Linked DNA regions of Sus scrofa. The protein of the gene in region 1 interacts with the protein of each later gene in a biochemical or structural test. Links are inferred from orthologs where the notes say so. Each region holds a gene or a part of one and is shown on either strand. Other genes may lie near its edges. The genes, in order: NGF and NGFR.

Region 1 (15,613 bases):
GAAGTTGGAGGATAAATACCCCAGATTCCCCCACTCTCATGAGAGATGACACTGAGGAACGACCACTTTTCCTGAGAATGACTATAGACCCCAGGTGGTCTCCCTGCACAGGCCCAACCCTCCATTATCCACACTCTCCCTGACCTCACCTGGGACTCTCCAGCTTCATTTCTTGACACTTCATATCCCATTACTTCTGAACTGGCTGCAGCTTCCTGCATGCACCATGCCATTTCACACTTGCACACCTTAGTTCTAATGGTTGCCTCCAAAATGTTGCTCTTTCCAACATTCTTCCCTGGCTCCTACTCATGCCTCAAAGCTTAGCTTGAGCAATAACTCATTGACATATACTTATTAAGCATTTGCTCTATGCAATACAGAGTGTTACAGAAGTTCCTAGAAAGGGCACCCAGTCTTGACTTGGGGGATCAATGATACCGCATTAGAAATGTCATCTAAGATTCTGAAAGATGAGCCCCAAAGGAAGAGAAATGAGCAAGGTGGAGCTGGAGGAGAGGGGTGGTAGTTTTGGAGGAACTGAAAAAAAGGAGTATAGAGCCCAGAGGTGCCAGCGCAGCTTATTAAATGAAATAAAAATAGTCACCGAGGCTGGAGCTGTAGAAAAGAAAAGGAAGTTGCAAGAGGGGAAGATGAAGGGCATGAGGGGCCAGAGGACACAGGGCTTTAAGGAATATAGAATGTGTGCTAGTGCAACGGGCACAACAAAGAGGCTCTGAAGCTCCAAGTTGGTCAAACGCTCCATCCCCTGAGCTTCCACTACTTCCTTGCTGGAAAGTAAGTTTCCATATGGCAGGAAACACTCCTTCTTGATCCTTGTTTGCTTGTACCTAACACAGATCCTACCCCAGAACAGGACTGTAATAAGTGCTGAGTTGGGCCACTGAGGTGACAGAAAGCCACCCAGGATGCAGCAGAAGCCACCCAGCCCAGACTCCTCCACAGGAGCGTTACAAATGTGAGGGTCCTGCCTGTGACTCAGCACCACAGAAGCCTGATTGTCAACATGGCACCATGGACAGGAAAGGACAGCCATGCTGCTCTGCAGCCAGAATTTGATCACTGGGGACCCTGCCTCGGGGCAGCTCTACAGTGGCCCCAATAGGAACACTTGAGGTCAGGCCCCATAGGGGCTGCAGAGTGAGGACCAAAGTGAAGGCTCTGGGGTAGCAGAAGTGCTGTGGGGCTTCTGAGGAGCACTGAGGACTCACCCTGGAGGGAGAGAAGTGGGAGAGCCTCAGAGGTGTCTGAACACAGCACCCATGAGGACAAGAACTGCGCTGTCCGCGTGCTGGCCACAGGGTCGATGGAGGCCTTTGTGGGGATGGAGCTGGACCAGTCTGAGCAGCTGGAGGTTCACAGCTGTTTGCATCAGGAGAGTAGAGAGACTCCAGTCTGCTAGGAGGCTTGCTTGATGCTACACCTAAGGAGACCACTTGTTTTACCCTGGCCGGTTTCTATACCTGTCTCACTTTCCTTTCCAAATCAAGCTCAACAAAATCACAATTTTATTCTTGACAGACCTGGTATAAAATGTTTTTAAATACTTATTTATTAAATGGGTTAAACAACTTAACTTGATTACTTAGTTCCAGGTGACTAGAGGTTGTTCCATTCACTTGCTGAATCCCTGGCACCTAGAACAGGACTGGCCCATAGCAGGTGCTCAGATATTAATTATTTAATGTCTAATTATATAATTACAAGTAATTATACTTCTTATGGCTCAAAGAGGAGAGAGCTTTCTCCCAAGGTTGCACCATCTGAGAGGAGTGAACTCTTCCCTGTCCCCAGCTAGTGGCTTTCCTGGGCTGTGGTGCCCCCGCTGGAGAAAAGCTGAACTGCTCTGCGCCCAGCTAGGATTTTCTGGTACCAAGAATGAGCTCTGCAGGGCTGAGCAGGAGGAGTTAAGGACTTCAGGTGGAGGTGTTGGGGTGGGGTGGTGGCAGCAGAGCCCTTGCTAGTGCCTGTGCACGTGGTCTGAAGGGAACCCAGGGAGCTCCTGGCACATAGGGACATTCAAAATGTGGGTGACTGAGGGGCATGTGTGAGAGGTCAGGGTTGACGTGGGGGTGAAATCATAAAAAGAGGAGGGAACACCCGGAAGAGTGCGCATGGGGGAGAATGTCAAGTCCTGGTCTGAGCCACGGGAGGCTCATGCGTTTCAAGGGCAGACGAAAAAATCGGAGAGGTGGATGGCAAGCCAGGCCAGCACGGTCACAGAAGCCTCGGAAAGCAAGTCTTAGATAATGGAGGTCATCCTAGAGGAGGCTGAGGACTGGCAAAGGCTGCTGAACTTGGCTGAAAGGAGGAAGAGACCCGGTGTTCAACAGCAAGAGCATCACAGATTTGGGTCACATCTCTGCTCAGTCACTGACGTATGCTGAGCAAGAGATTTATCTCTTAGGTCCTCAGCTTCTTCATTTACAAACAGATGATACCTACTGATGGGGCCACAGGATGCCTTGCCCAGGGCCTAAAACAAGGAATGCCCTCAATAAATGCTGCCATTATTATGTTGGTGGAGGTGTGCTTCTTGCAACTGGTGACCTTGAAGAAGACAAGAGTTCAGTAGGGATACGGGGAAGAGATGGGAACCAGATTGCGGGAAGTTAAAGGGAGCCAAGGAACCAGTGGGTGTAGATGACTTTGCTGAGGAATCTGGTAGTGAAAGGAAGCTGAGAAATTCAGTGGTCAAGCAGGAGGAAGGCCAGAGGTTTCTGTAAGAGAAAAAGGCAAGTGAGTGCTCACAAGCCAAAGGGAGGGAACCTGTAGAGAGGGAGAACAGAAGATATCAGAGAGGGAGAAAAGACAGAGAGAGGCCCCGTGAGTAGGCAGGGGTGGTCCCCCAGAGAGAAGGGGGAGACCCCTGATGGCAGTGTTGTCTGCACCTGGCCTTTCTGGGCTCCTTTACCAGCTTCCCTGCTTAGGCCAGAGATGGGAGGTCTTTCCCTCAGCCTCTTTCAGAAACTGTGGTAACAAGAAGACCTGCTCAGAAGTCAAGAGGCCTGAGTTCTGGTCCTGACCCTGGCTGTTTGTACTTGGCTGAGCCCTTGTCCTTCCCGAACCCTTGTGTCCTCCTCCATGAATGAGGTGGCTAGAATGATCTTCTCTGTGATTCTGCAACCATGTCATCTCACTAAGCATGATAAAACATTTCCTTTTCTGAAGTTTTTCTCGACTCTGATTAGAAGGAAACAAAACAAAACAAAAAAAAATCTTTGAGCTGAAGTTATCACTTCCGCCAGCAACTGGGACAATGTGTCAATATTTCTGGTTCACACGTATGGCAAGCAGATCTGGCGATTCCATCAGTACTGGCAGCTCGCTGCTGAGCCTCCTGATGTTTTAAATAGCTTGTGCACTTTGTCCTGGCCTTCTGGAATGAAGCAAAGGAGAGGCTGGAGCTTTGCACTAGGCTGAGTGCTGCCGTTGATGAGGCACTCAGTGGTTGAATCCTCAGAAATAACAACAATTACTGTGCATGCCACAATCTGTCCTCCAAGGCAGCAAATGTATCAGCTGCTAGTTATTTTGATATCTTGGATAAAAAGCTCTTTTGAGAAAATCAAGTCCAGAAAAACATTCTTATCCTCTGCTTGTCCACACCATTCCTCCTGCCTGCTGCCCTCTCAGCTGTTTTCATTCCTATAAATGTAGCTGGTCCAGGCCTTAAGGTCCTTGTTCCAATGACCCAGGAGAAAGATGTTTCTGTTTGGGCCCTGAGTGACAATGGAAGATGCAAGAGAAGAGACACCTGGCTATGTCTCTGTGCCAAGGACAGTCTGACCTGGACCTGCTGGAAACCGATCCAGTGTAGATGGGTTGGCTGACAGCCACACGTGGTTCTGATCACTGCTGGATTTAACAGGCATTCACTGAACACCTACTGTGTGACAGACCCTGTGCTAGGACCAGGAGAGGTGGTGACAGATGTGGCTAGGAACTGCTAATCCAGCCCCCACAAAAACACAAGCTCCCTGATCAGGTACCTTAGATATCTCGCAGGGCCTGGCACATAGCAGGTGCTCAACAATCAACCTTTGGAGTGTGCATTTGTTATTTACATGCTATACTTGACTCAAGATCCTTAAAGCTCAAGGACATAAACAGAGCTATTCAGGGGAGGAAAGGAGCACTTATTAAATCAACATGTGCCATCAGAATGTGATCAATAATTTGGGGGGTGGGGCATCCAGGTTTACATCATTTTTAAATTTGCTTCTTACACTCCACATGAAAAAGAACAAGTGCCCCTAATCCTTTTTGTCCTCGGGGATGCCACAAGGACACCTACAAAAGCTCTGTATTCAACAACCAAATTCTGTTATTCTAAAATTTGTAACTTCATCCCTAAATTCTTGGGCAGCTATTATGTAAGGCTTAGGGCTGGTGCTTTCAAACAAGTTTATACATGACATGATTGATGAATGAATTTGTCCTATTGTCTGGAAATTCCTTTGTTTAACTGACGGTGATAAATTTCCTAATGGATCACCCTGACTCTGATGCTGCTTCTACAGAAAGGCCCATTCATGGTGGCTCCGGCTGCTTACACTCACCTCCAAAGTGTTCCTCCACCAGTTTGCATCTGAACAACTCAAGGGAAAGAGGCTTTGCTGGGAAATAACGAGGTCGTATCAAAGCTCAAACGCTCTTCTGAGTCTGGGGTTTTTCTCCTACCTCATCCCTCTCAGAGCATACATATGTGGGTGAATAAAGTATGGGAGCAAAGGTAAAACCAGAAAGAAGCGGAAACCTCAGGTTAGTCTGTGTCAAGTGCCTAAGCGGGGCCTCACGTGGCTCAAGTGCCCTCCACTGGGGGACAAGGGCCACCCTTGGACTTAAAGCAGGAACTCCTGTGCCTCACTAAATCCCAGTGCCTGAGAGTGACCTTCACCTTAATTGTGCTGTCAGAGCTTCACCCACAAAGGGAGTCTCTGCCTGCCTCCCCCCACCACCTATCTCTCTAACTCTCTTCTCCAAGCCTTCCTCCCGTGTGGCATCAGGCACAGAGGAGGGGTTCTGTATGCAATTTGCTCAAGGAAGAAGTGAAGACACCTACATACAAGCTCAATACCAGGGGACGGGGGTGTGAATTTTCAAAGCTCCATGAATCCCCCAGAACATTATTACAATTAATGATGCACATTTGGTGGAAATCTGACTTTAGGGATATTTCTGGGCTATGGGTCAGACAAACTCCCTGGTCAAGCTCTGAATCCATGGAACCCAAGAAATCTTGGTGGGCCAGCTACGAGATCCTGCCTAACTGAAAGTACGGATGGCGGAGAAAAAGAATTTGGGTAGGGCTTGGGGTGGGGCAGAAGGCTCTCTGCCTGGGTCAGTTTAGAGTCACAGAACTTTTGCAAAACTGATGAAAGTTGGGAACCCTCCACCCAGAAAAACCACACATCACACAGTAGACAAATCTGCTTACAATTTCAGAAGGATCAGGCACCCCGGAAAGGAAGCTTCTATAATCAGGGCCTGAAGGTAAGGCTCTGATTCTAGGTCCTAATGCCTAAGTGCCCTGCCCCAGGGCCTTCTAGCTGGTTCTGCTGTAGGAGCCACAGCTCTCCCTGTGTCAGAGGAGTCAGGAACCTGCATCTCCTGGAGCTCCCCTGGGTACTCTTTTCTCCCAGGGTGACAGGAGGCGTCCTGGGAAAAAAGGTCTCTGGGCTTTTCTCTCTTGGCTCCCAGGAGCTGGAGCAGCCCAAGCCCAGGGCACGAAGGATGGCACCAGGCAGACCCCAGAGGAGCTGGAAGCAAGGCGCGGGCTGCCGGCTTCGCAGGAGGGAAGGGAGGGGAGGTGCGGGGAGCTCCCGGCGACTCCGCCCACCCCCAGCCAGTTGGCCCTTTGGCGTCCGAGGCCAGCACCCCCGCCTGGTGCCCCAGAAAAATCCCCAGCCAGTAGGGCTTTGCAAGCGGCCCCTCCAATGCCGATGCATTTCCTTTTGACCTCTGGAGGTTTGACCCCCAACCCTGGCTGGGTCAAGCCCGCCCTCCCGGGAAAGATCGCTCTCTGGTCCCCAGGACCCCTACTGGCGGGCACCTCCGCCTGGCTGGAGCAGGTGCGGGGCTGGGGCTGCGGAGGGTTGGAGTGGGGGAAAGGATTTGGAGTGGGTGACTCAGGAGTCCGGGAGGAGGGGCTAAGAATTCAAGAAGCCTGTGTTAGAGCAGCTCGGCGCTCCGGCACAGCAGAGAGCGCTGGGAGCCAGAGGGGAGCGCAGCGGTGAGTCAGGCTGCCCTGAGCCCAGCCCGAGAGGGGCGCAGCTCGGGCACCGGCGCGGTCCGGCGTGGCTGGGCTCCCGGGGAGAGTATGCGTGGATCCCAGTGTGGCCAGATCTCTGGGTGCCCCGGAGGCTCCCATGGGCTGAACTGCGGCCGTGAGAGGAGCGTCCCAAGTGGGTGCGGGAGCCTCGGCGGGTGGGCGAGTCGTGGGGAGCAGGGCTCTCTCAGGTCGTGGAGTTCCCAACCTCCCGATGGCCCGAAGTGCGGGAGGCCACTCTGGCGCTTGAAATCGCTGTACGGCGGTGCCAAGGACTAGCTCGAGGGCTAGAAGGGGGACGGCACTCAAGTGAGAGAGAGCGAACGAGTGTGGCGAGAGGGATGCGCGGGCTGCGAGCGCGCCGGGGCCGCAGGAGTGGTGATCTGCACGGCGGAGTGCGAGTGCAGGGCGCGCGCGGGCTGGGGTGTGTGCCTAGTCCCTCGAGTGCTACGCTGCCCCCAGGGAAGGGGATGAGCGGGCAGGGGGCCCTGGACCTGGTGCAGGGCATGAAGCAAGGGTCTCCGGGTTCCTTCGCCGGTCGCTGGAGAACTGGGAATCCCCAGAGAGGGCCCCAGGGGTTGTTAGAGGAAGCCTGCTCGCCAAGGGACTCCATGCAAGGTCCTGCTACGTGGGTTACACGCCTCACCTCCAGCTGTCTGCTGCCAGGTGCGGGAGAAGCTAGTATGGAGGGGTGGGGCGGCAGTGCCTTGGGTCCAGACGGCAAAGACCTAGGGGAGGGAGAGACAGGACTCCGGGTCGCGAGCGGCATCTTTGAGCCATCGTAAACAAGCGGCTTCACTCTGATTACAACTCTCCTTTTTCTTTCCAAACAACAACAACTGAGATTCTCATGGAAGGTGTTTTCTGCTTGAACTTTTCTCTTCTCTTGTGATTTGAGAGATTAAAAAAGAGCTTGCTTGCTAGGCTGGTTTTTCCAAGTTGTTCCAGGTTGGAAGTTGTAACAGTTTGTCGGATAATTTATGGGTGTTTCATGCATTAAAGGGTATTACAGTAAAGCCTTTGGGTGCTATGGGTATTAAGAAAAACTTAGTGCACGTTCCCAGCGGGAAACCAAAATAGGACTCTCCTGGGTATCTCTGCCCCCTCCGTCATCTGAGGCCAATGGAAATCCTGGAGAAAAGGCACTTGATTAATTGTCCTGGCTCCATCCTCTGGGCACACCCACTGCCAGCGCCAGACACCTCCTCCCCCACTCACATGTATGGTCAGCTGCTTTCTCAAATTCAGAATGGCAGTGGCGGGCCCACCAGTATCTTCTATTCCGGGTCTTCAAACTTGAAGTTGTCAGTTAAGTCTGCGGCCGGAGGGGACTACTTCTTCCTCTCAGCGCAGAGGAGGGCAGCAGCCATTGGACCCTGCCAGCCCTTCCTGTGCAGTGTCTACAGTTTGAACGTCTGAAACTTTCCCCTTCTGAAGAGCCAATGAAGAAAGGCTACATTGGATCTGCATGGGTCTCTTCTGCAGAAGTCATACGTCAGCCTGGCCGGCCCAAATGTCAGTCCATTATGGGATCTGTTCCCAGAGGTTCAGCAGCAACTGAGGACTAGGGGTGGGGAGTGTGAATGGTCTGGGGGCTGGGACTGGCCCTGCTGGCCTTGAATGTGGCTCATACTTGGGTCATTGAAGGGGGTTGGGATTACCATCACATGCTGCCAACCCCCCCCACCATGATTTTCCCAACATTTTTAGGCAGGTGGGAAAAAGGGCAGTCTTGATGGGGAAAATGTTAGGAGGCACCACAAATCTCTGAGGCATGGGGACTCATGTTTTGATAGAGCTATAGGAGTACCTCAGAGGATTTTATAGCCAGCTGCTTGTGCCATGCCTGCCCCGGCAGCCATCCTACCCCAAAGCAACCCAGGCCCAGACCCACTAGAGAAATGGCAAGCTGGGTCCACTCAGGCAGCTATCCTCATACTGGTGACTCTTTCGATATCCTTAACCTTTGTCAAGGAGTGAGGTTCTCAGCTTCTCCTGTTGCCCACCACATGTCTCCCCCACCCAGGGGGCTGGAGGGAGCAGGGGATGAGGCTTCACACTCTCCTCCTCCATGGAGAAATTTGTGTGATGGCCAGGAAGGGGCCCCCAGCTGCCGACATCAGCAGGGAGGGTAGGGCATGGCAGGGCAGGGCTGGAGCCTGAGGGAAGTTTCTCATCATTACTGAGATTAAACTGATGGGAAAATGGCACAACTTTTAAATGAGTGCTGAGCACGAGTGCTGCACATTCGTGGCATGCCTTGTTTCAGTGGCAACTGCCTTGGAGCCGCGGAGAAACCACTTGCTGTTCTCAGCAGGCAGTGGAAGGCTGGCTGAGGATTCATATCAAAATCTGGATATCACTGAGCAAACAATCCATATTCACAGAGGGTTGCTCCTCCTTTGACTAGCACCTCTGATCTTGCAAACCATCAGCTAAACTGTTAGGAATCAGGCTTAGCTCATCCTGACAAATCATCTCTTGTGATGGACCAGTTTCACAGCATATGGCAGCCTCTAGCAAGTAAATGGAAATGAAAGACCCTTCTCCAACTCATTGCCAGAGACCTTGCTTCCTGACAGTGGGGAACCAGTTAACATCCTAACTCTAAATAGCAGGAAAACTCGGATGGCCCTGAAGCAGAAATGCAGCTAGAGAAACTGAGGCTTTGAAGTCACTGACCTTTCAGGTGTGCAAAGGATGAAAGTGTCACTATTTAAGCTGAGAGGATAGACATTTTGCCACAAAATTTAGCCAAGGCCATAATAATGAAAATGTATAATAAAAAGGGCCTATGCTCATGATTTTTTCATTACTCTTCTCTGGGTTACTTTACATGTTTTGGAGGAGTTTCTATAGGTTGTTGGTCTCAGAATACAATACAGTGGGAATCCCCTTGAAATGATCTCTTGCTATTTTGCTCCCATATTTCGGGTAAGCTTCCTGTGGTCGTCTCCTGAGTTATGAGACAGGAGGGGAAGTAGCTTTGTGACCTTGAGCGAGTCACTAAACTTCTCAGACTACTTTCCCATTCTATAGGACAAGGGTAGTGGATTAACAGTGTTTCTCAAAGGGGCTGTTGGCACCTGGGGACGATTCTTGGTGAAGGGTGACCTATTTACATAATGCAGGAAGTTTAGTGCCCCTACCTGCCTATTAAATGCCAGAAGTCACGGTGATTACCCCAAATCCCCTCCCCCCATATGTGGCTAAATGCTTATTAGAAGGATAATACTGCTCCCAGTTGAGAACTCCCTTGGAAATTACCAATACAGGCCTTTCAGCCCTATAGTCTGGTCATCTATTATTTAATCATTAAATTTGGGCTTCAGGTGTCCAGCCCTGGGCTTCATCCTCCAGGAGCCAGCGTATCAGGCTCCAGGAAGCCAGTTGCAGGAACCTCAGTGCTGTGGCTCTGCCAGGCATTGTCCTTTGCTTTGGTCAGTGGAACGTGACTACAACTGAACCATATGAAAAGAAAACCAGAAAGAGGAGGGAGAAGGGACAGGCGGTATTAGAGCATGGCGGCTTCCTTCTCTGCCATATGCTATTAAAAACACAGGCAGACTGCCTGCCCCGGGTGTCCACAGCATTGGGAGGAAATCCTTCTCTCCTTCACTAAGTGGATCACACTCTGGCACCAGGAGGTCCCTTCCCTGAATGAGAGAACGAGGAAGCAGAACCCTCCCCAGCATCGACAACACTTAATACAACATGGGCACACGTTGGTATCAAATTAATACAACTGTGCCCAAGCTGTGAGAATAAATGAGAATTAATAATGTGACATTCGATTGAAAAAGTAGGCTAGTAATGCTGCACTGGAGGGATGGTGCTTGTAAGACTGGGTTTATTCTCACGTAGAACAGTTCACTTATCCTTACCAAAATCTCACCAGAGAATTAAAAAATAGGACCATTTGGTTATTCATAGTGCAAAGAGCTAAAATGAATAATGTCTTTGGAGGATGTTATTGCTTGCTACTCACTCCCAAGCAGTAGAAGAGAGAAAACTACCAAAACAGTAGAGCTGGCAGAGTTTAGAATTGATTCCTAATGAGGCCAAAAAAAAAAAAAAAAAGGACATAAGAGACTTAAGGAGATTCCCAAATGAAGTTGAGACAGGTCTGATGATGCAATCTGTCAAGTGGGACTAGCAACAATGCTTTCTGAATTGGCCAACCTCTTTTACACGCGGAAGTCTTTTTATTAGGAGTAGTATTAGTCAGTCAGACAGTCAGGGTTTCCCTGAAAATTCCCCACCGGAGTAAGCAGATGGAGATGTTTTGGCACTGCCTGGGGTGGCTCTGCAGGTGGAAAGCTCTGCAAGTGGAACGATCTGGCTCTGAAGTCAGTGGGAACGAACAGCCCAAGCTTCCCACAGAAGCCTTTCCACATCGAGGGCAGCTACAATCCACGACTACTGGGATTGTCTCCCAATAACCACAAAGTATTTGCTCTTTGGTACAGATGGGCTGATCTTCCCATTTCCTCTGGCTGCTTTTTTGGTAGCCAAGGTTGGTGGAATATAACATCTGGCTGCATAGTGTTCACGTTCCCAAGTAAGTTCCAGGGAGCACTGTCTGCTGGGAGCCATGAGAGCTCAGCCAGGTTGGGGGGAGGGGGTCCTGTCTCAATGCCCCCCCCCAAGTCCCATGGCTGTGGATCAGAGATGCGGTTGAAGACTTGGTGCCCCCGCCCCAATCACTGTGGATCAGAGTGGTAGTTAAAGTGACTTGCATTTCTCACTTGTGTATTCTGGGGACGTGCCATCCCATGTTTGGACCTGAGTAGACCTGGCTTAGAGGTTAACATACGGGGGACCACCTCATTCTTGTCAGTAACCAAAAGCTAAACCCCCATGTTGTTCGGGAGATGCAAGAGAGGCAGGTTCCTTTGGATTGTGGTTTCTAAGGAAGGAGGAAACCACAAGGTTCAAGGTGGGCTCTAACTGCCCGAAGGACGCTGGACTAGGCGAGCAGGGAGGAAGGAGATGAGCACCAGGAGAACAGAGATGCAGGAAGGCTTCTTTTGTAGCCAGTGTTTTTCTTCCATAAAACAGAGATAACAGTGATACCCGCTCTGTCGGGCTGTTGTACGCATCAAGTGGGAGGATACTGGTGGAACATCACAGGCCTGGTGCACAGCAGGCGCTCAACAAACACAAGTTCCCATCCCTCGTGTTCTCCCTCGGTGCCCAGAGGGGTCTGCGGAATTCCTCCCTTTATGCTTTTTAGTTCAGGTTGGACAACCTCATCTTTGCATTTTTTATGTCTCTGTATATGTAAAGCTTTGTTACACGGAGAGAAGAAATCTTCCTGGTCGTACTGAAGCTCCTCTAGGAACTTACCCACCTGTATTTTGACCTTCTCTATTTAATGTCCTCATTTTGATAGAATTTTAACCAAACATTTCATCTTCTGAATTACTTTGGCCTCATTATATCCAAGCAAAAGGGAACTCATGGACATTTTCCTGTAATTTTCTTTCAGAGGCAAACTTCGTCTCAGACTTGTATTTCAGAAATGTTATGTAATGCTCTCTAAATAAGGCATTTCTTGAGAATGGCCATTTGTACTGGCAGCTTTAAGAGTGTTTTGGTTCCTTACCCCACATAACAACTTGTCCTCCTCCAACAGCTCGTTTCCTTAGGATTTTATGTACCTTATCAAGTTTACTAGAGATAGAAGAGGAAGAAGTGAATTTTTCTACGGCAGCCAGGTGTTTGTGCTCTCTCTCACCCCAAGGGTCAGTGGCTGAACAGCAGTTGCTGAATTGCATATAACCTTTGGTTAAAGAGGGACCAGTCCTCAGCCCCCTGACCTCAGGCTGCTGGATTGATCTTTCTTCTCCCAATTAGCATCTTTTTTTTTTTTTTTTGCTATTTTAGGGCTGTACCCGCAACATATTGAGGTTCCCAGGCTAGGGGGTTGAATTAGAGCTGTAGCCTATACCACAGCCATAGCAATGCAGTATCTGAGCCACATCTGCAACCTATACCACAGCTCACGGCAACGCTGGATCCTTAACCTACTGAGTGAGGCCAGGGATTGAACCTACAACCTCATGGATCCTAGTCAAGTTCGTTAACCGCTAAGCCATGAGGGGAACTCCTAGCATCTTAATTAATATGCTAACTAGAGGCCTGGGCACTTGGAGAGTCATAATAAGTATAAATCATGGTCTTGTCCAAGGAGCTTGCTCAAGAGTCAAAGTGGAAATGCCTCATCGGATAACGTAAATGAGGTAAGGCCATAGGCTGGTGGTGGCTGCAGAAAACAAACTAGAGAGGGTCTGTCCCATCAAGAGGGGAAAGGCCATCTATTGCTTTGCAGGTCTGTAGGACCATGTGGGCAGATTTTCCAACTTTTCCGAAAGAGTCAGAATTTTGAGTTCGATTATATAGTTTCTTCACTTTTCGAAACATCCATGTGGACCAAGCAAAACCTGTCTGCTGGGGGGTTTTTTGTTGTTTGTTTGTCTGTTCGTTTGTTTTTGCATCTAGTTTGTCTCTCCTCCTGCTGCCTTCCTGCTCGTAACACTCTTGGAGCAGTTACGAGCAATATCAAAACAGAGACTAGCTGTAGAAGGCTTAGCTGTGTGGCTCTCAGAGAGGTTTGGGGCAAGGTGCCCTCTAGGGAGGCTCCTGGGGAGGGGATGTCCTGCAGGTGGGTAGGACTGTAGACAAGCAACCCTGGCACAAAAGAGACCTAGCTTCAGATCCAAGCTCTGCCTCTTGTTGACTCTGTAACCACATTACTCAATCCCTCCAAACCTCAGTTTGCTCTTCTCTAAAAGGGGCTCATTATACTGCTCTTGGAAGTCAGTTGTGAGGGTGAATGAGGGAGGGAGGGCTGGAGAGCACTGACTCATCCCAGAGCCTGGAATGGAGCTGGTGCCCAGTGAGCCTGAGCCCTGTCCGATGGCTGGGCGGGTGGGCTTTAGCCAGCCCAGAGGGCGTTAAGGGCCAGAGGCATGAGGAAGGGCCCCTCACTGAGTTTTGTAAACAGTTGCTTTCCAAGGACTTGGGCTCCTGTTGCTTTTCCTGCCCCAGAAGAGGGAGAGTATGTGTAAGCTGTTTTTCTCCCCTCCTGCCGCCTTCCTGCTTCTCTCCGAGGCCTGAGACCGTGTGCCCACTTGCTCTGTCAGAATCCCACCCTTTCAAAACCTGACCTGGGCCACAGCTGAAAAACACAACTCTACTGGGTAAGAAGGAAAAGTACTCCGGGAGGCTGTATAGACACGCACGGCAAATATTCAAGGAATTCTTAGGAATAAAAAAAAATTCGTAAATCTGGATTTCTGCATGAGGCCATCACAGGAACATGTTTTCTCAATTAGCATGCACATTGCTTGGAGTGAAGTCACCGAGTCCGCGGCTCCTCCGGGCTGACTTGTGCTGGAGCCACCTGATCTGGACCTCACTTTCCATGATCTAAAGCTGATTGAGCCAACCCTGTCCCTGCCCCCCAGCTGCTGAAACAAAATCACCCCCAAATCCTAAACCAGGGTGAAGACATATGCACTTCCCTGCAAAGCACAGAAATTTCAGATTCTGGGTGTACTCACCCCAGATTGAGAAAGACAGCACTACACTTGATGGTGGAATGATAAGAGCCAACCACTTGCGTTGTTCTTTTCCTGGGGCATTTATTGTTAGATGGTGACTGTGCATTGCCCCGTCAGAGCAGATGTGTCCTTTAGGTTCTGAAAGCAGAGAAAATAGTTTCTTTTGAGAAAGCATGCATCAACTGCTTAAAATATTACTAGTCAGTGCCTGAGATCAGCGGTTATGTTTTCTGGATGGTTTCCTAGACTGACTCTTTTCCAAGCGAAAGGCTTTGTCTGATATTTGTAATTTCTGAAATATTTGATTAATGATGTCCCCTCACCAGAGGGATGGTCTAGGGTGCATAATTAGCAGCCTGCCTCAGAAGCAAAGATGAGGCGCAGCATCCAACGAGATCAAGCAAGTAGTTGAAAACATTTCAGGTCAACTCCCGTGGTGTAGAGGAAAGGAAAATGGTTTTCAAACTGTAGGTTGAGACCCATTAGGGGGATGTGAAATCAATTAAAGTGGTACAACTCTCTCTTGCTCTCTTCAAAAGAAAATAGGAAAAAAAAGGAAAGAGTAAAATTTTTACAAATCAATGTGCATTGCATATAGCAAGGGAAAGTATTCATGAAACTTTGGTCTTAGCTGTATATACATTTACACATACATATGTGCAAACTGGATCATGATGGAAAATGTATTTTTTCACTATGAGTCATGGTTTAAAAAGTTTAAAAGCTGCTGGCCCAGACGACAGCATGGTTTAGGAAAGGGCATAGCTCTGAAGCCAGACAAACTTGGGGTTAAGTCCCAGCTCTATGATTCCTAGTTGTGTGATCTTGGGTAACTTAAGTTCTCTAAGCATCAGTGTCCCCATCTTGAAGGTCAGACTGATTGCTTTCTCATAGAACTATTATGTAAATTAAGTGACAAAGATGTATAAAGTGCCTGGTACTGTGCCTGCTGCCAAGGCGGCCTCAGGAAGTGAGAGCCACTGTCATCATCTGTCTTCTTCTTCCCCTCCCCTCTCCTCTTCCTTCTTGATTTTCTTTGTGACTAATCAACCTCATCAAAACTACAAGTCCCCTTTAATCCCTGAGGTTGGCTGTTTCTCTGGCCAACTAGGCAGAGAAACGACAGCAATTATGTTTTGTCTTTGTCCCCAGCCTTTCTCTACCATTTTTCTCCCATTTCATGTTTGCAGAGCCATCTTTCTGTGATCCTCTTCCCTAGACATGACCATAAATTGTCCAAGGGGCCCAAGACATGCCCTGTCACTGGAAACCATCAGAGGGAAATCACGGCCTTTGCTAGCCTTGTGACCAGGACAGATGTTTTGGTCCTAATGTGGTGGTGCAGTGACTCTGGAAGGAGCTTCTGTTCCCACAAATCACATCCTTCCTTCTCAGTATATTTTTTTAAGGACAACAGGGCTAAGATACCATTAAAATGTTGACATTGTCAAATTCTTAAGAAGTTCCTGCCCAGAGTAGAGAGCCTGACATTTTCTTGTGAGCGAGGCTCCAGGCTGCCCCAATGCAGAGGGTTTCAGTTTCTCTCCCAGTATAAGGAGCTTAAAGGCCCTTGGTGCCGTCCCTGGAGCTGACAACTTCAGGTAAACCAAACCCCAATCCTGACTCCCGCCCTCAACCCAGCCCACAAGCTGTCACTGACCCCAGACCTCCCCTTTCCAGAGGAGGGTACATGGAAGAGTGACCCCACACCAAGGTTCTACATCGGGGCCACAAAGGCGACATGTCCCAATTT
Region 2 (15,741 bases), on another chromosome or scaffold:
CCAGCAGTGGTGGCCAGAGGGCAAGGTAGCAAAGGCATTGCAGGATGACCAGCCTCCTCACCTGGCCCCAGGCATCCCTCTGCTGGGGGATGAGTTATAGGATCCACAAGCACAGAAATAGGAAAACTGTATGGTCGGGACATCAAGGAGTTGGGGTTGCCTGAAGAAGAGAGAGCGTGTGTGCCTTGCGATGTTGGTGGTGGGCTGGCTCCAAAGGTTAAAGACAGGCTGGTGGGTGTGTTCAGAGTCCCCAGTTCCTGTAACCTTGTTCCCAGCATGATTAAAGAACAGTCTGAGTAGAATTCCCACTGGTCCTGCAGATGGGCATTGAGTAGCCAGTTAGAAGGCAGGATCTGACAATCAACAGTGAGGAGACGTTTCCAGGCAGACCTGCCATCTTTCTGCCTCCCTCATCCAGCAGCGCTGGAAGACTCCTCTTCCCAAGGAAATCCCAGATAGGAATGGCCACAGCGCCCCTCCCCCATCCTGACCTCAACCCCCCTGTAAAGACATCCTTGTAGGGCGCCAGCCTCCATCCCCGCTGATGGGGAAAGCTCTGCTTCCTCGGTCAGGGCTGGAGAACAGTTGGCCTGGGGGGAGGTGTAGCCACACCCTCCCAGGATCCCCCAAGGTCAGTCTCCAGGACAGCCAGGATTTGATCTTCCTCCCCTCCCCACAAACACGCGGAGGGTAAGTGGCAGCCATTGATTTTGCAGTGCAGCGGATATTTTTAGCTGGTCTTAGCATCAGCTACTCCTCCCACCTGGCCAGAACACTCTTCTACAAGGCTTCTCTGCTAGGGGTCTCTGGAAGGGGCGCCCCCCCACCCCAGGGATTCCCCCCTCAGGTCCCCCTCCTCCCTCTGCATGCTTCTTTCATCCATTCGGAGCTTCCCCTCTCTGCCTCCTATCCTGCGGCAGACTCACTCCTGGTGCCCAAGCAGTGATGGGCAGGAGTCCCTGCCAGGACTCGGAGTGTGCCCTCCACCCCCTTCCCCACGCTGGTCATCTATACTCACTGTCCAGGCAGGGCTCACACACGGTCTGGTTGGCTCCGCAAGGCTGGGCCACGCCTTCACCCAGGTTGCAGGCTTTGCAGCACTCGCCGCTGTGAGTGTACATGCCTGTGGGACAGGTCTCCTTGGCACCTCCAAGGGACACCTGAGTGGGGGAAGGTCAGAAGATCAGACTGGCAAGAGATGGAGGAGGGGTGGATTCCGACGGAGCAAACATCCCCTTCTAAAGCCTTCTATTGGAACCACCTGGGCCCGGATGAGCTCACCAGGGAGGCATTTGGCACTTGAAAGCTGGTGGGGAAGAAAGGCCACGGGGGACAGTGCACCCCTGCAGGCTGCTGGGAGTGTGAGGTCAGAGCCTTGGATGCTGACTTTCTGCAAAGTTCATCTTGGGGTTACAGCAGCTCCTAGAATCCCAAGGATACATCATGGGGGGAAGGCAACCTGAGGTCCAGCAGAGAGACTTGGAGCAGCTGAAGCGGCAGGCAGGTTGCAGCTTGCATAGGACTCCCAGCCAAGGAGGTGACTAGAAACTGAAATCTAGCCCAAATGCCACCTGCTAAGCTGCACACCTGCAAGGATGCGTGTACCCAAAGAGGAGTCTTTTTCTAACAAAGGGCAGCCGGGCTCCGGGTCCTTAATTCTACCATTCCACATATTAAGTATGAAATGGGAGGGGTCTGTACCCAAGAACAGAGGTGGGACCTTGGGTTCAAATTTTGGCTCTGCTCTGAGAGTTCTGACCTGCCCTGCTTTCCCTCTCTGATTCTGCATCTCTCTGGACAGAGAGAGAGAGAGAGAGAGAGGGAGTCACCTTAGGGCCAAAGCAAAAGAGCAGCCAATCATCAAGAGTCTGGCGCCAAGACGGGAGAAAAGGCTGCCTGTTATCAATGATGAGAAAGTGGCAGCTCTCACCATCCAGCAGCCCTGCTCCACCAGGGTCTGATTTCCAGCCACCAGCCCGCCCCTCTCCCTGCCCCCCAGGCAGCCAGTGGGACCTGCATTGGAAACAGGGGAGAGGGGAGTCAGATTCCTGCCGCTGAAGCATCTTTGCTCATGGATGGAATGATTTAGCACCAGATTCCCTAGAGGGAGGGGCTGCTGCCAGCTTGCTTTGTATTTCTGTTCCTTTAAAAAAAAAAAAAAAAAAAAAAAACTTAATATCTAATAAAATTCCAAAGCCTGTTTCCCTGGCTCCAGACCATGCAGCCCTCATTTGATGCTCAGAGGAAACAGGGGCTTTTGGATCATGGGACTAGAGGGGCGCTGTCCAGGTCATTTGGGACATTCCCCTGCTGCTTCCATGTTGGCCCAAAACATGTCTTTCCCTCCAGTCCTTTCAAATATCCTGAGGTCTCAGCAGGGTTTGATGGAGGTAGGGGGATGGCCAGGTTGGATCAGTTGAGGAGGCAGCCACTAGTTCTCAAGAGCCCAATGGGGAGGGTGCAGGCAGCCTAGGAGGGGAACCGTGGGTGCTGCCACCGTCTTCTCCCAGGTGGCAGGGACGGGGTGCTGGGAACATCTGCAGACCAGAAGCCCGGTGGGGGTGGGGTGGGGGGGTGTAGTCCCCGACACGAGGTTTCCCCCAGGAGGTGAGCAAGACTCCAGATTCCAGAAGGGTCTGTTCAGATTTCTTTTCATCCTTCAGGACTCTGCTTAAATGTCACTTCATCAGGGAAGTGGTCCCGTGGTCCCAAGCCTTCCTGGATCAGGCGGAGCCACCTTGTCCCTTGTCCTCCCTGTTCGGTCTTCCTGTCTGGTCTGAGTCTCTGCAGACACCCCCATGGGACTGTCAGCTCCCTGAGAGCAGGGACTGTGCTGGCCTCAGTGCCTGAGACAGAACCTGGCACATATTAGGGACCCAACGTGTATATTTCTGGAATTTAAGACAGTGAGACAATATGGCCTCGATTAATGAGAACTCCAGGGACCAACTCTCTCCGTAGAGAGCTGAGATTCTGGAAGGTCAAGGATTTGCTGCTCTTCTCATCTAATGGTTTTCACTTTTAACTATGGGCGCTTCCCCTTCCTCTGTCTCTGAAACACACTTTCACCGTTTCCCTATGACTCAGGGGCTCAATAGTTACACGAGCGATTTTTCTGGGCGGCGATGCAGTGATGCCCTATGTTCTTTATCACAAATGACCACACTTTTGTCTCTTGGAGTTCTCCTGTCAGCTTTTCTTACCATTTTTCTGTCTCCTCCTTTCCTGTCAAGGTATCAGTTGTCAACTCTCGCTGCTCCCAGTGTGACCGGAGCAGCCCCTCCCCCATTCTAATGTATTAGGTCTAATTGAATCTTTAGAAAGTACGTAACTAGCCCTGGTGGGAAGATGTATAAAGGGAATGAAAGCAGGATCTGAACCAAAAGGGGGGGCCCTTCTCAGAGTAAAAAGTGTGAGTTCTCCTGCCTTCATCATTGCGCTGAATCCTTGCTCATGGCTTAGAGTGAGGTGACCTGGGACGGGTTTGGAATTTCTCTGCGCCTCAGTTTCTTCCTCATTAGGTAATTATGACAGGACCTGCCTCAGAAGGTGGCTGTAAGCATTATGTAAATGAGTAAGCTGTGTATTTACTTTGAGACCCCTCCTTTCTCTTTTGCAAGGTCTTTCTGGCATTCTTTTGGCTTTGGGCTGAGTTCCCGTTAATTGGGGTCAGTAGAGACCTGGGCCCGGGATAGTGGAAGGGTCTGTCGTGGCAGTGGGCGGAGTGGCAGCCCCGTGCCCCGCCCTCCTGTCAAAGCCCACTGGTGGTCCTCTCTCTTCTCCCAAGTCTTTCATTTGGAGTCAAGGCTACATAATTAGTAACCATGTGTTTCCTGTGCTTGTTTTGTGTTCTAGTTCAAAACATTCCAGATCTGCTACTGAATAAGCATGTTGCTTTGGGTAAATTCTCTATCTCTGTTAAGCCTCAGTTTTCCCAACTAAAACACTGGGTTGGTGATATCTACTGCCCAGGGTGGCTGTGAAAAGTAAATGTAATTTATGCAAATCTGTCTGGTGCACAGTAAGAGTTTAATAAATGTTACATTTATTTATTTATTTGTTTTTTAGAGGGCTGCACCCTCAGCATATGGAGGTTCCCAGACTAGGGGTCCAATCGGAGCTACAGATGCTGGCCTACGCCACAGCCACACCAGATCCGAGCCGCATCTGCGACCTATACCACAGCTCACGGCAATGCCGGATCCTTAACCCACTGAGCGAGGCCAGGGATCAAACCTACAACCTCATGGTTCCTAGTCAGATTCATTTCCTCTGCGCCAGGATGGAAACTTTAAATGTTACTAATTAAAGAAGTGTCTTGTCTTAAGGACAAGCTGAACTGCTAAGCCTGGGCAGGGGATGGGGGTGGGGTGGGGGGAAGAGAGTAGGTAGCAGGAAGGGAGAGGTTTTTATTTTTATTTTTTTATTTTTTGTCTTTTTGCCTTTTCTTGAGCTGCTCCCGCAGCATACGGAAGTTCCCGGGCTAGGGGTCTAATCGGATCCGAGCTGCATCTGCAACTACACCACAGCTCACGGCAACGCCGGATCCTTAATGCCCTGAGCAAGGCCAGGGATCGAACCCACAACCTCATGGTTCCTAGTTGGATTCGTTAACCACTGCGCCACAATGGGAACTCCAGGGAGGGGAGAGTTTAGCCATCCCCAAAGAGGGAAAACCATCTCAGAGCAGGGGGCAAGATAGGAGTGAAGACAGACACCCACCAAGAAGAGTCTGAAGGAGGATGGGGACCAAAGGAGGATGGGGACCTGCTCTGTTCAAAGTTAATTAAGTCAGCAGCTATTTCCTAAGCATTGGACTGAGTTTCCAATGACTGAGTCACTTTGCTGTACAGTAGAAATTGGCAGAACATTGTAAATCAACTATCATTTTAAAATACTTGGAGTTCCCGTCGAGGCGCAGTGCTTAATGAATCCGAATAGGAACCATGAGGTTGCGGGTTCCATCCCTGCCCTTGTTCAGTGGGTTAAGGATCCGGCATTGCCATGAGCTGTGGTGTAGGTTGCAGATGTGGCTCAGATCCTGCGTTGCTGTGGCTCTGGCGTAAGCCAGTGGCTACAGCTCCAATTAGACCCCTAGCCTGGGAACCTCCATGTGCCACGGGAGTGGCCCTGGAAGAGGCAAAAAGACATAAATAAATAAATAAAATACTTTTTTAAAAAAAGGAACTAAGAGTGTCTCTTAAGACATGGTCCCTGACTCCTGGAAGGAGTTATGGTCCCACGATGGAGAGAAAATATCACCCCAAAGAGTTGCTCCAGAAGCTGAGGAGGAAAGACTTGAGGGATTGCCGTCATGGGACAGAGGTGGAAACTGAGGCCCACAGAGGTCATGCTGCTCACCGGCCTGATGCACCACCCGGCCACACTCCCTCTGGGTTCAAGGCCCAGCAATCTTGGGAAGGAGGGAGGGATGGCGAGGATTCAGGCTAATGGCTCCAAACGATGGATTTGCCAAAATGACAGACACATTTGCTTGAAATTTACATTTATTACACTTACTCATTTCCATGTCTGATGGAATGATTTCGTTCCATTTTTGAGAATGTTTGCAAATCTTTTCCTTTTTTTTTTTTTTGTTCTTTTTGCCATTTCCAGGCTTTCAAGAAATTAAGGTGGAAACACCCTTACGTGAATGGACTTTTAAGATTTAATTTTTCAAAACTGGACCCAATAGAGAATACGCCGAAATAGTTGAAAGAATCTGAAACTACAGGCAGGCTTCAGTGTGGTGAGTCCTAAGCATTCACAGCAGCTTCAGCAAAGGGTTCCTTAAGTGAATGGAGCCATTGGCCACTGTCACGGGGTTGGAGAGTTTTCAAACATGGGAAGGGTCTTTGAGACCAATGCAAACCCTGGGGAGGCACATGCCCCCTCAACCCTTTAGACAGGGGTGGAGTTTGGGGTCAAAGACAAGAGCGAATTACTGAGGAGGATGTTGCAGTAATAATTTGAAAGGGGGCGGGCTGGGAGAGAGGGGCTCAGCTATAACTTTGTGGTGCCAAGAGCACCGGACACGATCTAATGTGTAATTCAAGGCCACGTGTCCTTCCGTGATCTGGAAGGTTGGGGGAGGGGCCGGTGCCTGGCATAAGGAGGACAGAGTAAACTCCAAGCCAGGCACCCTAGGTTCCAACAAGGGCGCCACCATCTACTAAACTGGGAGAGCCTGATTTCGCGTCTGAAGGTCCGGGAGGTTCAGCTCTCTCAGCTGTAAATGGGAATAACTAGATTGACTCGGCTGGGACCTTATAAGGATTAAATAACATAAGAGAAATTACTCAGGGCCATGCATGGCACGCAGTAGGCACTCAATCAATTTTATTATTCCCGCCTCCCCGCCCCGCACCCCCAGGGAAGAATCTAGGCGCGTGCACGGGACCTGGCTGGTACAGCGGCGTGGGAACACCTTCCCTTCCGAGGCGCCTCCCCCACCCGGCCCCGCTCGCGTGCTCGCATTTGCTGCCGTCGCTGCATCCCTATTATGCGCATTAGCCAGTCCAGCGGCTCCGGTTACAGACGTCTGAATGACAAAGTGCCTCCATTACCGGCGCGGCTCGCCAGCCGACCCGCCGGGACGCGCTCTGGTTTCAGCACTCTCTCGCCGCGGCCCAGGAAGAAACTCGGACCGCTGCGGTGCACAGAGCCAGCCCCGAGACAGCAGCCCCGCGGCAAGGCGGAGGCGAGAGTCCCAGGGGCTGCAGGCGGCAGATTCCGAGCGGGGTCCACCTTTCCGAGCCCCCAGGCCCTCCACGCGCAGCTCCCCTCCTGTCTCGCCTTTTCCCTCCTCGGCGGACACCCTCCAGCCCAGATCCGGAGCCCACGCCCTCGCCTCTCCGGGATCCGCACTACAGTCCCCCCCACCCCCCTTCCCGCTCCCTTCCTCCCCGGCTGAGAAGCATCTTTAACCCGTGACGTTAGTCAGCAAACGTGCCCGCAGTCACTCCCACATGCCCGGACGAAGCCACAGGTACTAGCATCCCAGAGAACTGGGGCTGAGCTTCGAGGATAGGGCCAGCACCCGGAGAGGCTCTCTGCCCATCCCAGCCCCCAATATTCCGTCGGCCGGACTCTGTCACGCCGACCCGCCGCCGCCGAGCCACGCAGCTCTTAACCCAAGCTGGGACGCCGGGCAGCCCCTTTTAAGAGGTACGGGGAGTACCGGGCTGGGAATCAGGTGAGGGGCAGGCTAGCTAAGAATTCTGGCTCTACTTGCTTGTGGGATCTTGAGCAATTGGCTTCAACTCTCAGAGCCTCTGTCTGTAAAGCTGGGATTTGGAGATGCGAGGCTCCGATGAGAGATGAAGATGGCAGGGAGAGTGAGGACACCTCCTCCATTGCCAAACCTCTCAGGGCACTCGGTTCATGGCCACACACCAGGTCACATCTCCTGAATGTCTCGGCAGAACTTCCGGGCGGACTTTGACGCTCACGAGGACCCACGGTCCTTTTCCGGGACAGAATCCCAGGCGTACAAGCACCCCCGTTTTGTTCCTTGCCCGGTGTCTTTCACCCAAGGCTGGGCGGGGCGCGGAAACAGAGCGAACCACCAGCGCGACGCTCGGGCTGCTTAACTTAACTGGAGGTCGGGGTGGCGGTGCGGCGCTTAGCCACAGTCGCGCGGGTAGCTGCGACGGCTCAGCCCTCGCGCCACAGCGCCCCCTGCGGGCCGCCTTCGCCTGCGCGCTACCCCGACCTTCCCCGCCTTGCGCGTCCCGCCTCTCTGCACCCCAAGAAGTGGCGGCGACCAGAACCCGTCGGACGACGCCTAGCTCTGTCCCATCCTGTCCTCCGCTCTGCTTCAAACTGCGAGAATAAATGCGGAGGAGGAGCCCGCCGGTCGCCGGAGAACCCGGAGAGCGGGTTCGCCCCGGCGAAGTGGGCACTCCCTTCCTAGCTTCGGACCCCAAGCCGCAATTGCCTGACCTCGCGAGGCCGGGAGAAAGAGCGCGCGACAGGCGCGGGAAGTGTCTGTGCCTCTGCCCTCTCTTCTCGTCCCACTGTCCCTCCGCGGGCAGGCGGGGCCCCGACCACCTTAGGGTCCGTTCTCCCTTCTCCGTCCTCTCGTTTTGCTTCCATCTCTCTACCTCCCTCACCGCCATCCCTTTTCTGCCCTCTCTTAACCATTTCTCTTTCTTCAACAGAGCCCCGCTCCACGAACGTCTCCCTCCCACGCCCCTCCCCCCCATTGTCTGGCTGGTCCTCATTGTCCGATGCCCAGTCCCCTTTGCCTCCAGTCCCTGCAACCTCCTCTCCCATTGTTCCATCCCCTTGTCTCCGGTTCCCCGCCCTAACCACGCTCGCCCCTCACTTCTCTAGTTCCCGTCCCATTCCTTCTCCTTCTCTAGCCCAGGTTCCGTCCCATGACCCTCCAGAGATCAAGATGCTCAGGGGGGAAGTCGCCTCGAGATCTTGGCATTCAAGCGCCTTCTTCCAAGGAACCCAGGCATCCGAGAGCCCCACGGTCCCCTTCTGAGAGACCCTTCCCAGCTCCTCCACACATATACCTCCTGGTACCTGAGGACCCGCATCCGTGCGCCCCTCTTATCCGCATCTCTACCCTGGATCTCAGGGTCGCCTCTTCGCTCTGAAATCCTTAGATGCTCCTCTGTGGATACTGGCATCGGAGCTTCTCTCCCGCCATCCGCCCCCAGCATCGAGGACCCCAGCCCTCTTTTCTATTTTCCCTCGAGGAAACCTGAACTCATCAGGGTTCCGGTCCTGGGAAAGGGAGCGGGCTCCTCTCCGGCTAGCACTCACCCCCTGGAGCAGCAGCAGCAGCAGCAGGCGCGGCCAGTCCATGGCGCAGCCGGCGGCACCTGCCCCCATCGCCCGCCTACCGTGGCAGCGCTCGGCTTCCAGTGGAGTCCGCTCCGCGGACCGATGGGGCTGCTCTGCGCTGCGCTCGAGCGCCCGCCCCCCGGAGCTGGCCGAGGCTCGGCTCCCTCTGGCTGAGGGCGGGAGGGGCTGAGGGAAGCCAGTGCGGCGGCCCCGCCTCCTCCGCGCCCCGCCCGCCCGCCCGCCCACCCCCGGAACCGCTCCCGCCCGCCCTGCCGCCTCCGGGAGGGGAGCGAAGGGGAGGGAGGGCTTGCGGGGAGCCGCGCCCGCCCGCCCCGCTGCCGCTTCTCCGCGCCCCGGCCCTCCGAGTCTATCCCCCACCCCGCCCGGGTACCCGGCGCCTGGCCAGCGCTACAGCGCGTCTGTCCCGGATGCTGTGGGCTCGGGGCGTCCCCACTGCGGCTCCCACTCCCTTGGGCTGCGGCCCCCCGCAGGGTTCACTCTCCTACCTGCCTTTCCCTGCCACTGGCTTCAGCTTCTTCCCCGGTGCCCTGCTCCCTACCCAGCCGCATCAGCAATAATACCCACTGGCCTATAGGCCACCCCTCCCTCTGCCCCTGCCCGGTGCTGGGGCGGAGGGGGGGTACGGGTGTTGGGGGGTGGTTGTCTGTGCGGAGGCCTAGGGGAGAGGGAGGGGGGTCAGCAGGTGGCCTGACCATGACCGCAAGCAGCGGGGATGTTCAAGGTGGAGTCCATCCCGCTATCAACTGAATTCTCAAAAGATGGGTTTGAAGGGATCACAGGTGTGTACACGCACAAAAAGGAACACACCCACTCCCAAGCTCCCATATATATGTGCTTGTGCACTCACACGTGCCCACACCATGCTCACGCAGTCCTGTAGACCTGCGCATGCGACACATACGTGTGCACCTCCACACATGCACACTCATCTCCCATGTGCTCATAATATGCAGACACACGTACTCACCTACACACTCACACACACTTGTGTACGGATGCAGTTACGTCACGTGGAACACACGCACGGTCATGAACACACACACTTACACGCAAACAAGAGCATAGATGCATCCTAAACACTTTGCCTTCATTGGATTGTGTTTACATTAGCTGATAAGCACCGTGCAGGTGGGGACTATGGTTTCTTATCTGAATGCCTCGTACACAGTAGGCGTTTGGAAAAGGTCTGGAGAAGGGAATAGAGGTAAAATTGGTTGGATGGACTCACATCCAGGTACCTGTCCATGTACTACGGTCGCCTTCCCCAGGACTGCACTCACCATGCCTTAGAAAGCTTGGCAGTTCCTAATCATAGCACCCCACCCCACCCCAGCACCCCAGGGAGTGTGCTGCCAGTCTTTGGGTGGGAACCACTCCCACGTCTACCTTGATGTCCCCCCCCCCACTACCTGTTCCCACCCTCTCCTAGTTCCCAAACAGGAAGGCCCAGGAGGAGAGCTGGGGAGGGGGGATAAGTCGACAAAGTCCATCCCCTCACCCTGATCTTGGCCAGATGTACATCAGTTTAGACTTGGAAAAAAAAAAAAATAGGGCTACTATCCCACATTCAGGGAGAAGGGGCAGATTAAGACACTTGTGTCTCAAGAGGGCATGCTCGCTGCTGGTAGGTGATGTCGCAGCTGTAATGATCAGCTGCAGCTATTTCATTCATTCATGGGGGATAAAAATCTTCCTTGCAGATTTCTTTCTTGTATAACCAACAAAGGACATCCCCAGAAAGGACAGGCAGACATCGCTGTGGCCTTGACTGTGAATGTACATGACCCCCTTTGATGGCTGGGCCTGAGAGGCCAGGCGGCTAGCCCCCCTTCAGAAATCCCCAAGGATGCCCTCCTCCCAGACCGGGATCACTTTGTTGTTGTTGTTGTTTTGGCCACACCCAAGACATGCAGAATTTCCCAGCCAGGGATCAGACCTGCACCCCCGCAGTGACAACACCAGGTCCTTAACCTGCTGCGGCACCAGGGAACTCCCAAAGGATCGCTTTTAAGCTTTCTCCTCCTGCTGCTTTTAGAGCCTTGCCTTTCCTCTCAGCTAAATTCATGGAAGGCAGGAAAGGGGCAACATTAGTATTAACAGCAGCGCTGAGCTGCTTACTACCCAGGGTATCGACAGTATGGCATTAATTTAAATACTCCTGTTATTAATTTATGATCCCAGTTACTATTATTGCCGAGCTTATCCATCTCAACACAATTTAATCTGACCCGCACCACTATGGCTGGGCCTGGGTTATTAATAATTTCCATGGTCTTGATCATTTAAGCCTTACTTGAACAATCACAAACAGCAATGGTTACTATTATTAGCAGTATTTCTATGATTAAGCCAGAGCACAAGACCATGATGTCATGCTGAGTGCTGGTCGGGAGAGTGGCTATGAATTGCGTAAAGAAGAGAGCACTGAACTGAGAGTCAGAGCTAGCCACAAATCCCTACATCTCCCACCCACCCCTGCATCAGGTACTTCTGCAGGGTCTGATGTTATGTCATCTCTCTCAGCCTGTTTCCTCATCTATAAAATGGTAATTTTTTTTTTCCCTAAGGCTGCTCCTGCAGCATATGGAGGGTCCCAGGCTAGGGGTCAAATCGGAGCTGTAGCCACCGGCCTACACCAGAGCCACAGCAACTCGGGATCCAAGCTGCGTTGGCAACCTACACCCAGCTCATGGCAACGCCGGATCCTTAACCCACTGAGCGAGGCCAGGGATCGAACCCTCAACCTCATGGTTCCTAGTCGGATTCGTTAATCACTGAGCCACAAAGGGAACTCCCTATAAAATGGTAATTTTTTAAAAAGATCCTATCTTGGAGTTCCCTCGTGGCCCAGTGGGTTGAGGCTCTGGTGCTGGTCACTGCTGTGGTGCCAGTTCAATCCCTGGCCCTGGAAAGTTAAAAAAAAAAAATCTTATCTTAAAGGGAAAATAAAATTCATCAAAGAAAAGACTCAAAGAGTTCCCACCGTAGCGCAGTGGGTTAGGGACCCAGCGCTGCTCGAAGCGGTGGCATAGATGGCCGCTGTAGCTCGAATGCAATCCTTGGCCCAGGAACTTCCATATGCCATGGGTGCAGCCAAAATAAAAAAGATACTGCATCCCCTTTAATCCATTCAACATGTGTTTATTGCGCATCTACTATGGGCCACACCCTGTTCTAGCGGTGAACAAAAGCAGCTACCCTCATGGAGCTGAGGTTCTGGTGTGATAGTGACGTGATATGAAGGATTATTTTAGAATGTGACACCTTGGCTTGATCATTAGCGAGATGGCATGGCTCTGATCAGAGTGCTCCTTTGCAGCAGGGATTCCTGTTCCTCGTGAGTGCTGAATACTTGAGTCGGTCCCTTTTCCCAGGAACACTATCAGAGGCCCTATGGTGCCCCTATCTGCCGGATCCCAACTCCCCCACCTTTTTTTTTTTTTTTTTTTCTTTTTGGATCTCTCCGCAGCATATGGCGTTCAGATCCGAGTTGCAGTTGTGACCGATGCCAAAGCTGCAACACTGGATCCTCAACCCACCGTGCCGGGCCAGGGATTGAACCTGCATCCCAGTGCTGCAGAGACGCCACAGCAGGAACTCCCCAGTTCCCTAACTGTCTCGATTCCTAGCCCCAAACATGAGCATCCTTCACCAATTTCTTCCTAACTCCACTCCCTTTCCCCTAAGCCTCAGCACGTGCAGCAGCAGCAGCCGTGGGAGGGGGCATGGGGAGAGGGTTCTTAGGAGCTGACCGGCAAGTGGGATCAGACAGGCAGCAGCAAGGGGGCAGCAGTTTTCACAGGAGGGTCCCCGGGTACCATCTCCCATAACTGAACTGCACGTATAGAGGGCTCCTCCTCCACCACCACACACATGCCAGGGCTTCCTGGACCTAATAGGGACCCCAAGGTGAAAGGGTGGAGAATCTCAAAGCCAATCTACATGGAGCTGGGAGTGGTACTGGTGGGTCAGACCGCATCTTCAGGAGGTGAAATGCGAGGGGTGTGGCCCTCTCTGCTTCATCTCACCGTTGCTCCATCACCCTGCCCCTGCAGAAAGGCAAGGTCCTAACCCATATTCCCTGGCGTCCCTTTCCGCTGGGACTCCTCGCTTAGGGCCCTCTGCAAAACATTGCTCGGAGCTCCCTGTGTCTGCCTTCAGCCCCTCTTCCCCACCCCCCTCCCCCGCAGTCACTAGGGAACCAGCCTACAGCGCCAACTTACTTCCAAGCAGAAATGCGGGTGCAGACAATGAGCTCACATTTATGGAGAAATCCTAGGGGCCGGAAGATCCACATAATCTTTTTTTTTTTTTTTTTTAAGGACCTCAGATGTGGCATATGGAAGTTTCCAGGCCAGGGGTCAAATTGGAGCTGCACCTGCCTGCCTATACCACAGCGACAGCAATGCCAGATCCAAGCCTCATCTTTGACCTACACCACGGCTCATGGCAACCCATTGAGCGAGGCTAGGGATCGAACCTGCATCCTCATGGATCTTAGTCGGTTTCATTACCACTGAGCCACAATGGCAAACCCCCACCCCCCGCCCCCACACAATCTTTAATCCCCACCGCAGTGTCATGAAAGAGGGGCTGGGTTCACCACATACAGATGAAGAGACTGAGGCTTGAAAAGGTTAAGCCACTTTTTCCTTCTGGGGGAGACGCCACCCCCAAAAGAAGCAGTGGTGCCATAAGTGGCCACTATACTGTAGAAGGCACTTCACAGCCACGTGTCACCATTAACCCCCATGTCCCAGCCACTCCTCCCCCTCCACCACCACCCCTCCAGCCTTCACTCCAAGAACCTACATCTCAGAACAAGCATCTCACTTGGCCCTTCAATACTGGCACTCAGATGCTCCCTCCTGACACGCCTGCACACGAATCTGGGCTTCGGCCGGGGTTGGATGGCCTGAGGGAAGCCGAGGTATGGTCTCTGTCATTTAACTGAAGGCACAAGTGTCGAGCTCTTCTGGTGAGCATTCACTGCTTCTTTTTTTTTATTTTTTTTCTTATTTTTTAAATTTTGTGGTATTCTTTTTAGGATCATGTGAAATTTATGTAACTTTGAAAGATAGGAAATTTTTTTAAGGAAAATAATAATTAATTAATTAATTGATTAATTTGTCTTTTTAGGGCCATACCCGCGGCATATGGAAGTTCCCAGGCTAGGGGTCAAATTGGAGCTGTAGCTGCTGGCCTTCGCCACAGCCACGGCAACACAAGCTCCGAGTCAAATCTGTTACCTACACCGCAGTTCACGGCACCGCCAGATCCTTAACTCACTGATCAGGACCAGGGATGGAACCCACATCTTCATGGATACTAGTCAGGTTCATTGCCAGTGGGCCACAATGGGAACTCCGAGCATTCTCTTTTCCTGCTTTGGGAGCAGCACCTTGCCTATCCTCCAGTTCCACCGTCCAGCCAGAAAAGGGGCGAAGGGAGATGGGCAAGGAGAGAACAGTTTTTGAGGGAGGGGGTGGGAGGTGCTGGGCCTCCCTCAGCTGCAGCCCTTATGCCCCCGGGCACTGGGCCAGGCAAGGTAAGTGAAACCCGCTGCCCCCCATCAGGGGTGAGCTCAGTGGCCTTGAAGTGTGATGCAGTGATTACCTCTGGGCTGACTCGCCAGCTGCAAGGGGCACCTGACCAATGAGGGGGCAGAGTGGGGGCTGGGGACTAATTTGGGGTCAGCCACGTTGGATTCCGGAGCTGCGTTAGTAGTGAGATGGGCAAGAGGTATTAGTCAATTTTGGAGTCCAGTTAGATTAACTGGAACATCAAAGTGGGCCCGTTCCATGGTGCCCTCCCCCACCATCTGCTCCAGCTCAGAGGCGGGTCCTCCTCCCTTCCTGCTGCCACCCTATCCTGCAAGGGGCGCGGACTGACCCGTGTGTGTCAGCTTCGCTCACCTCTGAGCCCTTCCGGGGGTTATGCTCCCATGAAAACAACTCTCTTCAACTTCCATACCTGCGGCATATGGAAGTTCCCCGGCTAGGGGTGGAATCAGGACCTGCAGCCACAATTCTACACCACAGTCACAGCAATGCCAGATCCGAGCCGCATCTGCGACCTACGCCACAGCTCACGGCAATGCTGGACCCTTAACCCACTGAGCGAGGCCAGGGATCCAACCCTCATCCTCATGGATCCTAGTCAGGCTCACTACCACTGAGCCACAGTGGGAACCCCCATCTTCTCTTGTCTTTCACCCTAACTGTAGAGTAGGTCCAAGTCTTCCATTTTCCGACCTGCAGTCCTTTGCCTTCAAAGGTCACCCTCCCTCCTACGTGTCTCGTTCTGCACCCATACCTCTGTCAATTACATCTGATTCATTTCTTCACACATAGACGGTAGGGACTTAATCTCCCTAGACTTTGGGTCCTGGAGAAGAGTTACCTGGAGGCACAATGTGCTTGAAGAGAGAAAGAATTCCAGGCGGGCTGCTAAGGGCACAGGGGAGAGAGTCGGGGTACCTGTGCCTCTGGGCAACCATCCTCCCTGCCGAGGCGGGGGCCAGCCCTCTCTCCAGCCTCTGGCTTCATCTCTGGGGCACAGTTCCTTCAGCTAGCCTTCCTCTAGGCAATTCCTCCGACCCTCCACTTTGACCGCCCAGCCCTGAAGGACTGCAGAGCTGCCCTGTAGGTCCGAAGGTTTCAGTCAGCCCTCTCGCTTTTGTATCCTGCATCCCAGGACAGTCAGGACATTTTTTTGGTCTTTTTGTCTCTTTTTAGGGCTGCATCTGTGGCTTATGGAGGTTCCCAAGCTAGGAGTCTAATCAGAGCTGTTGCTGGAGGCCTACGCCAGAGCCATAGCAACGCCAGATCCGAGCTGCATCTGCGACCTACACCACAGCTCACGGCAATGCCAGATCCTTAACCCACCGAGAGAGGCTAGGGATCGAACTTGCAACCTCAT

The links.
Region 2: the proteins of NGF (region 1) and NGFR form a complex in vitro, tested with the Homo sapiens proteins (2 studies listed by BioGRID and IntAct, with this or other methods). The link is inferred for Sus scrofa from reciprocal best matches to the Homo sapiens genes NGF and NGFR.

The regions. Positions count from the first base shown.
Region 1 is NC_010446.5:105,250,534-105,266,146, forward strand, and holds the start of NGF (beta-nerve growth factor), read left to right. Parts: upstream 1-6,157; 5' UTR 6,158-6,256; intron 6,257-6,274; exon of another isoform or gene 6,275-6,428; intron 6,429-15,613. UniProt on the Homo sapiens protein: Nerve growth factor is important for the development and maintenance of the sympathetic and sensory nervous systems.
Region 2 is NC_010454.4:25,692,653-25,708,393, reverse strand, and holds the start of NGFR (tumor necrosis factor receptor superfamily member 16), read right to left. Parts: upstream 8,985-15,741; 5' UTR 8,848-8,984; coding exon 8,779-8,847; intron 1,161-8,778; coding exon 1,019-1,160; intron 1-1,018. UniProt on the Homo sapiens protein: Low affinity receptor which can bind to NGF, BDNF, NTF3, and NTF4. Forms a heterodimeric receptor with SORCS2 that binds the precursor forms of NGF, BDNF and NTF3 with high affinity, and has much lower affinity for mature NGF and BDNF.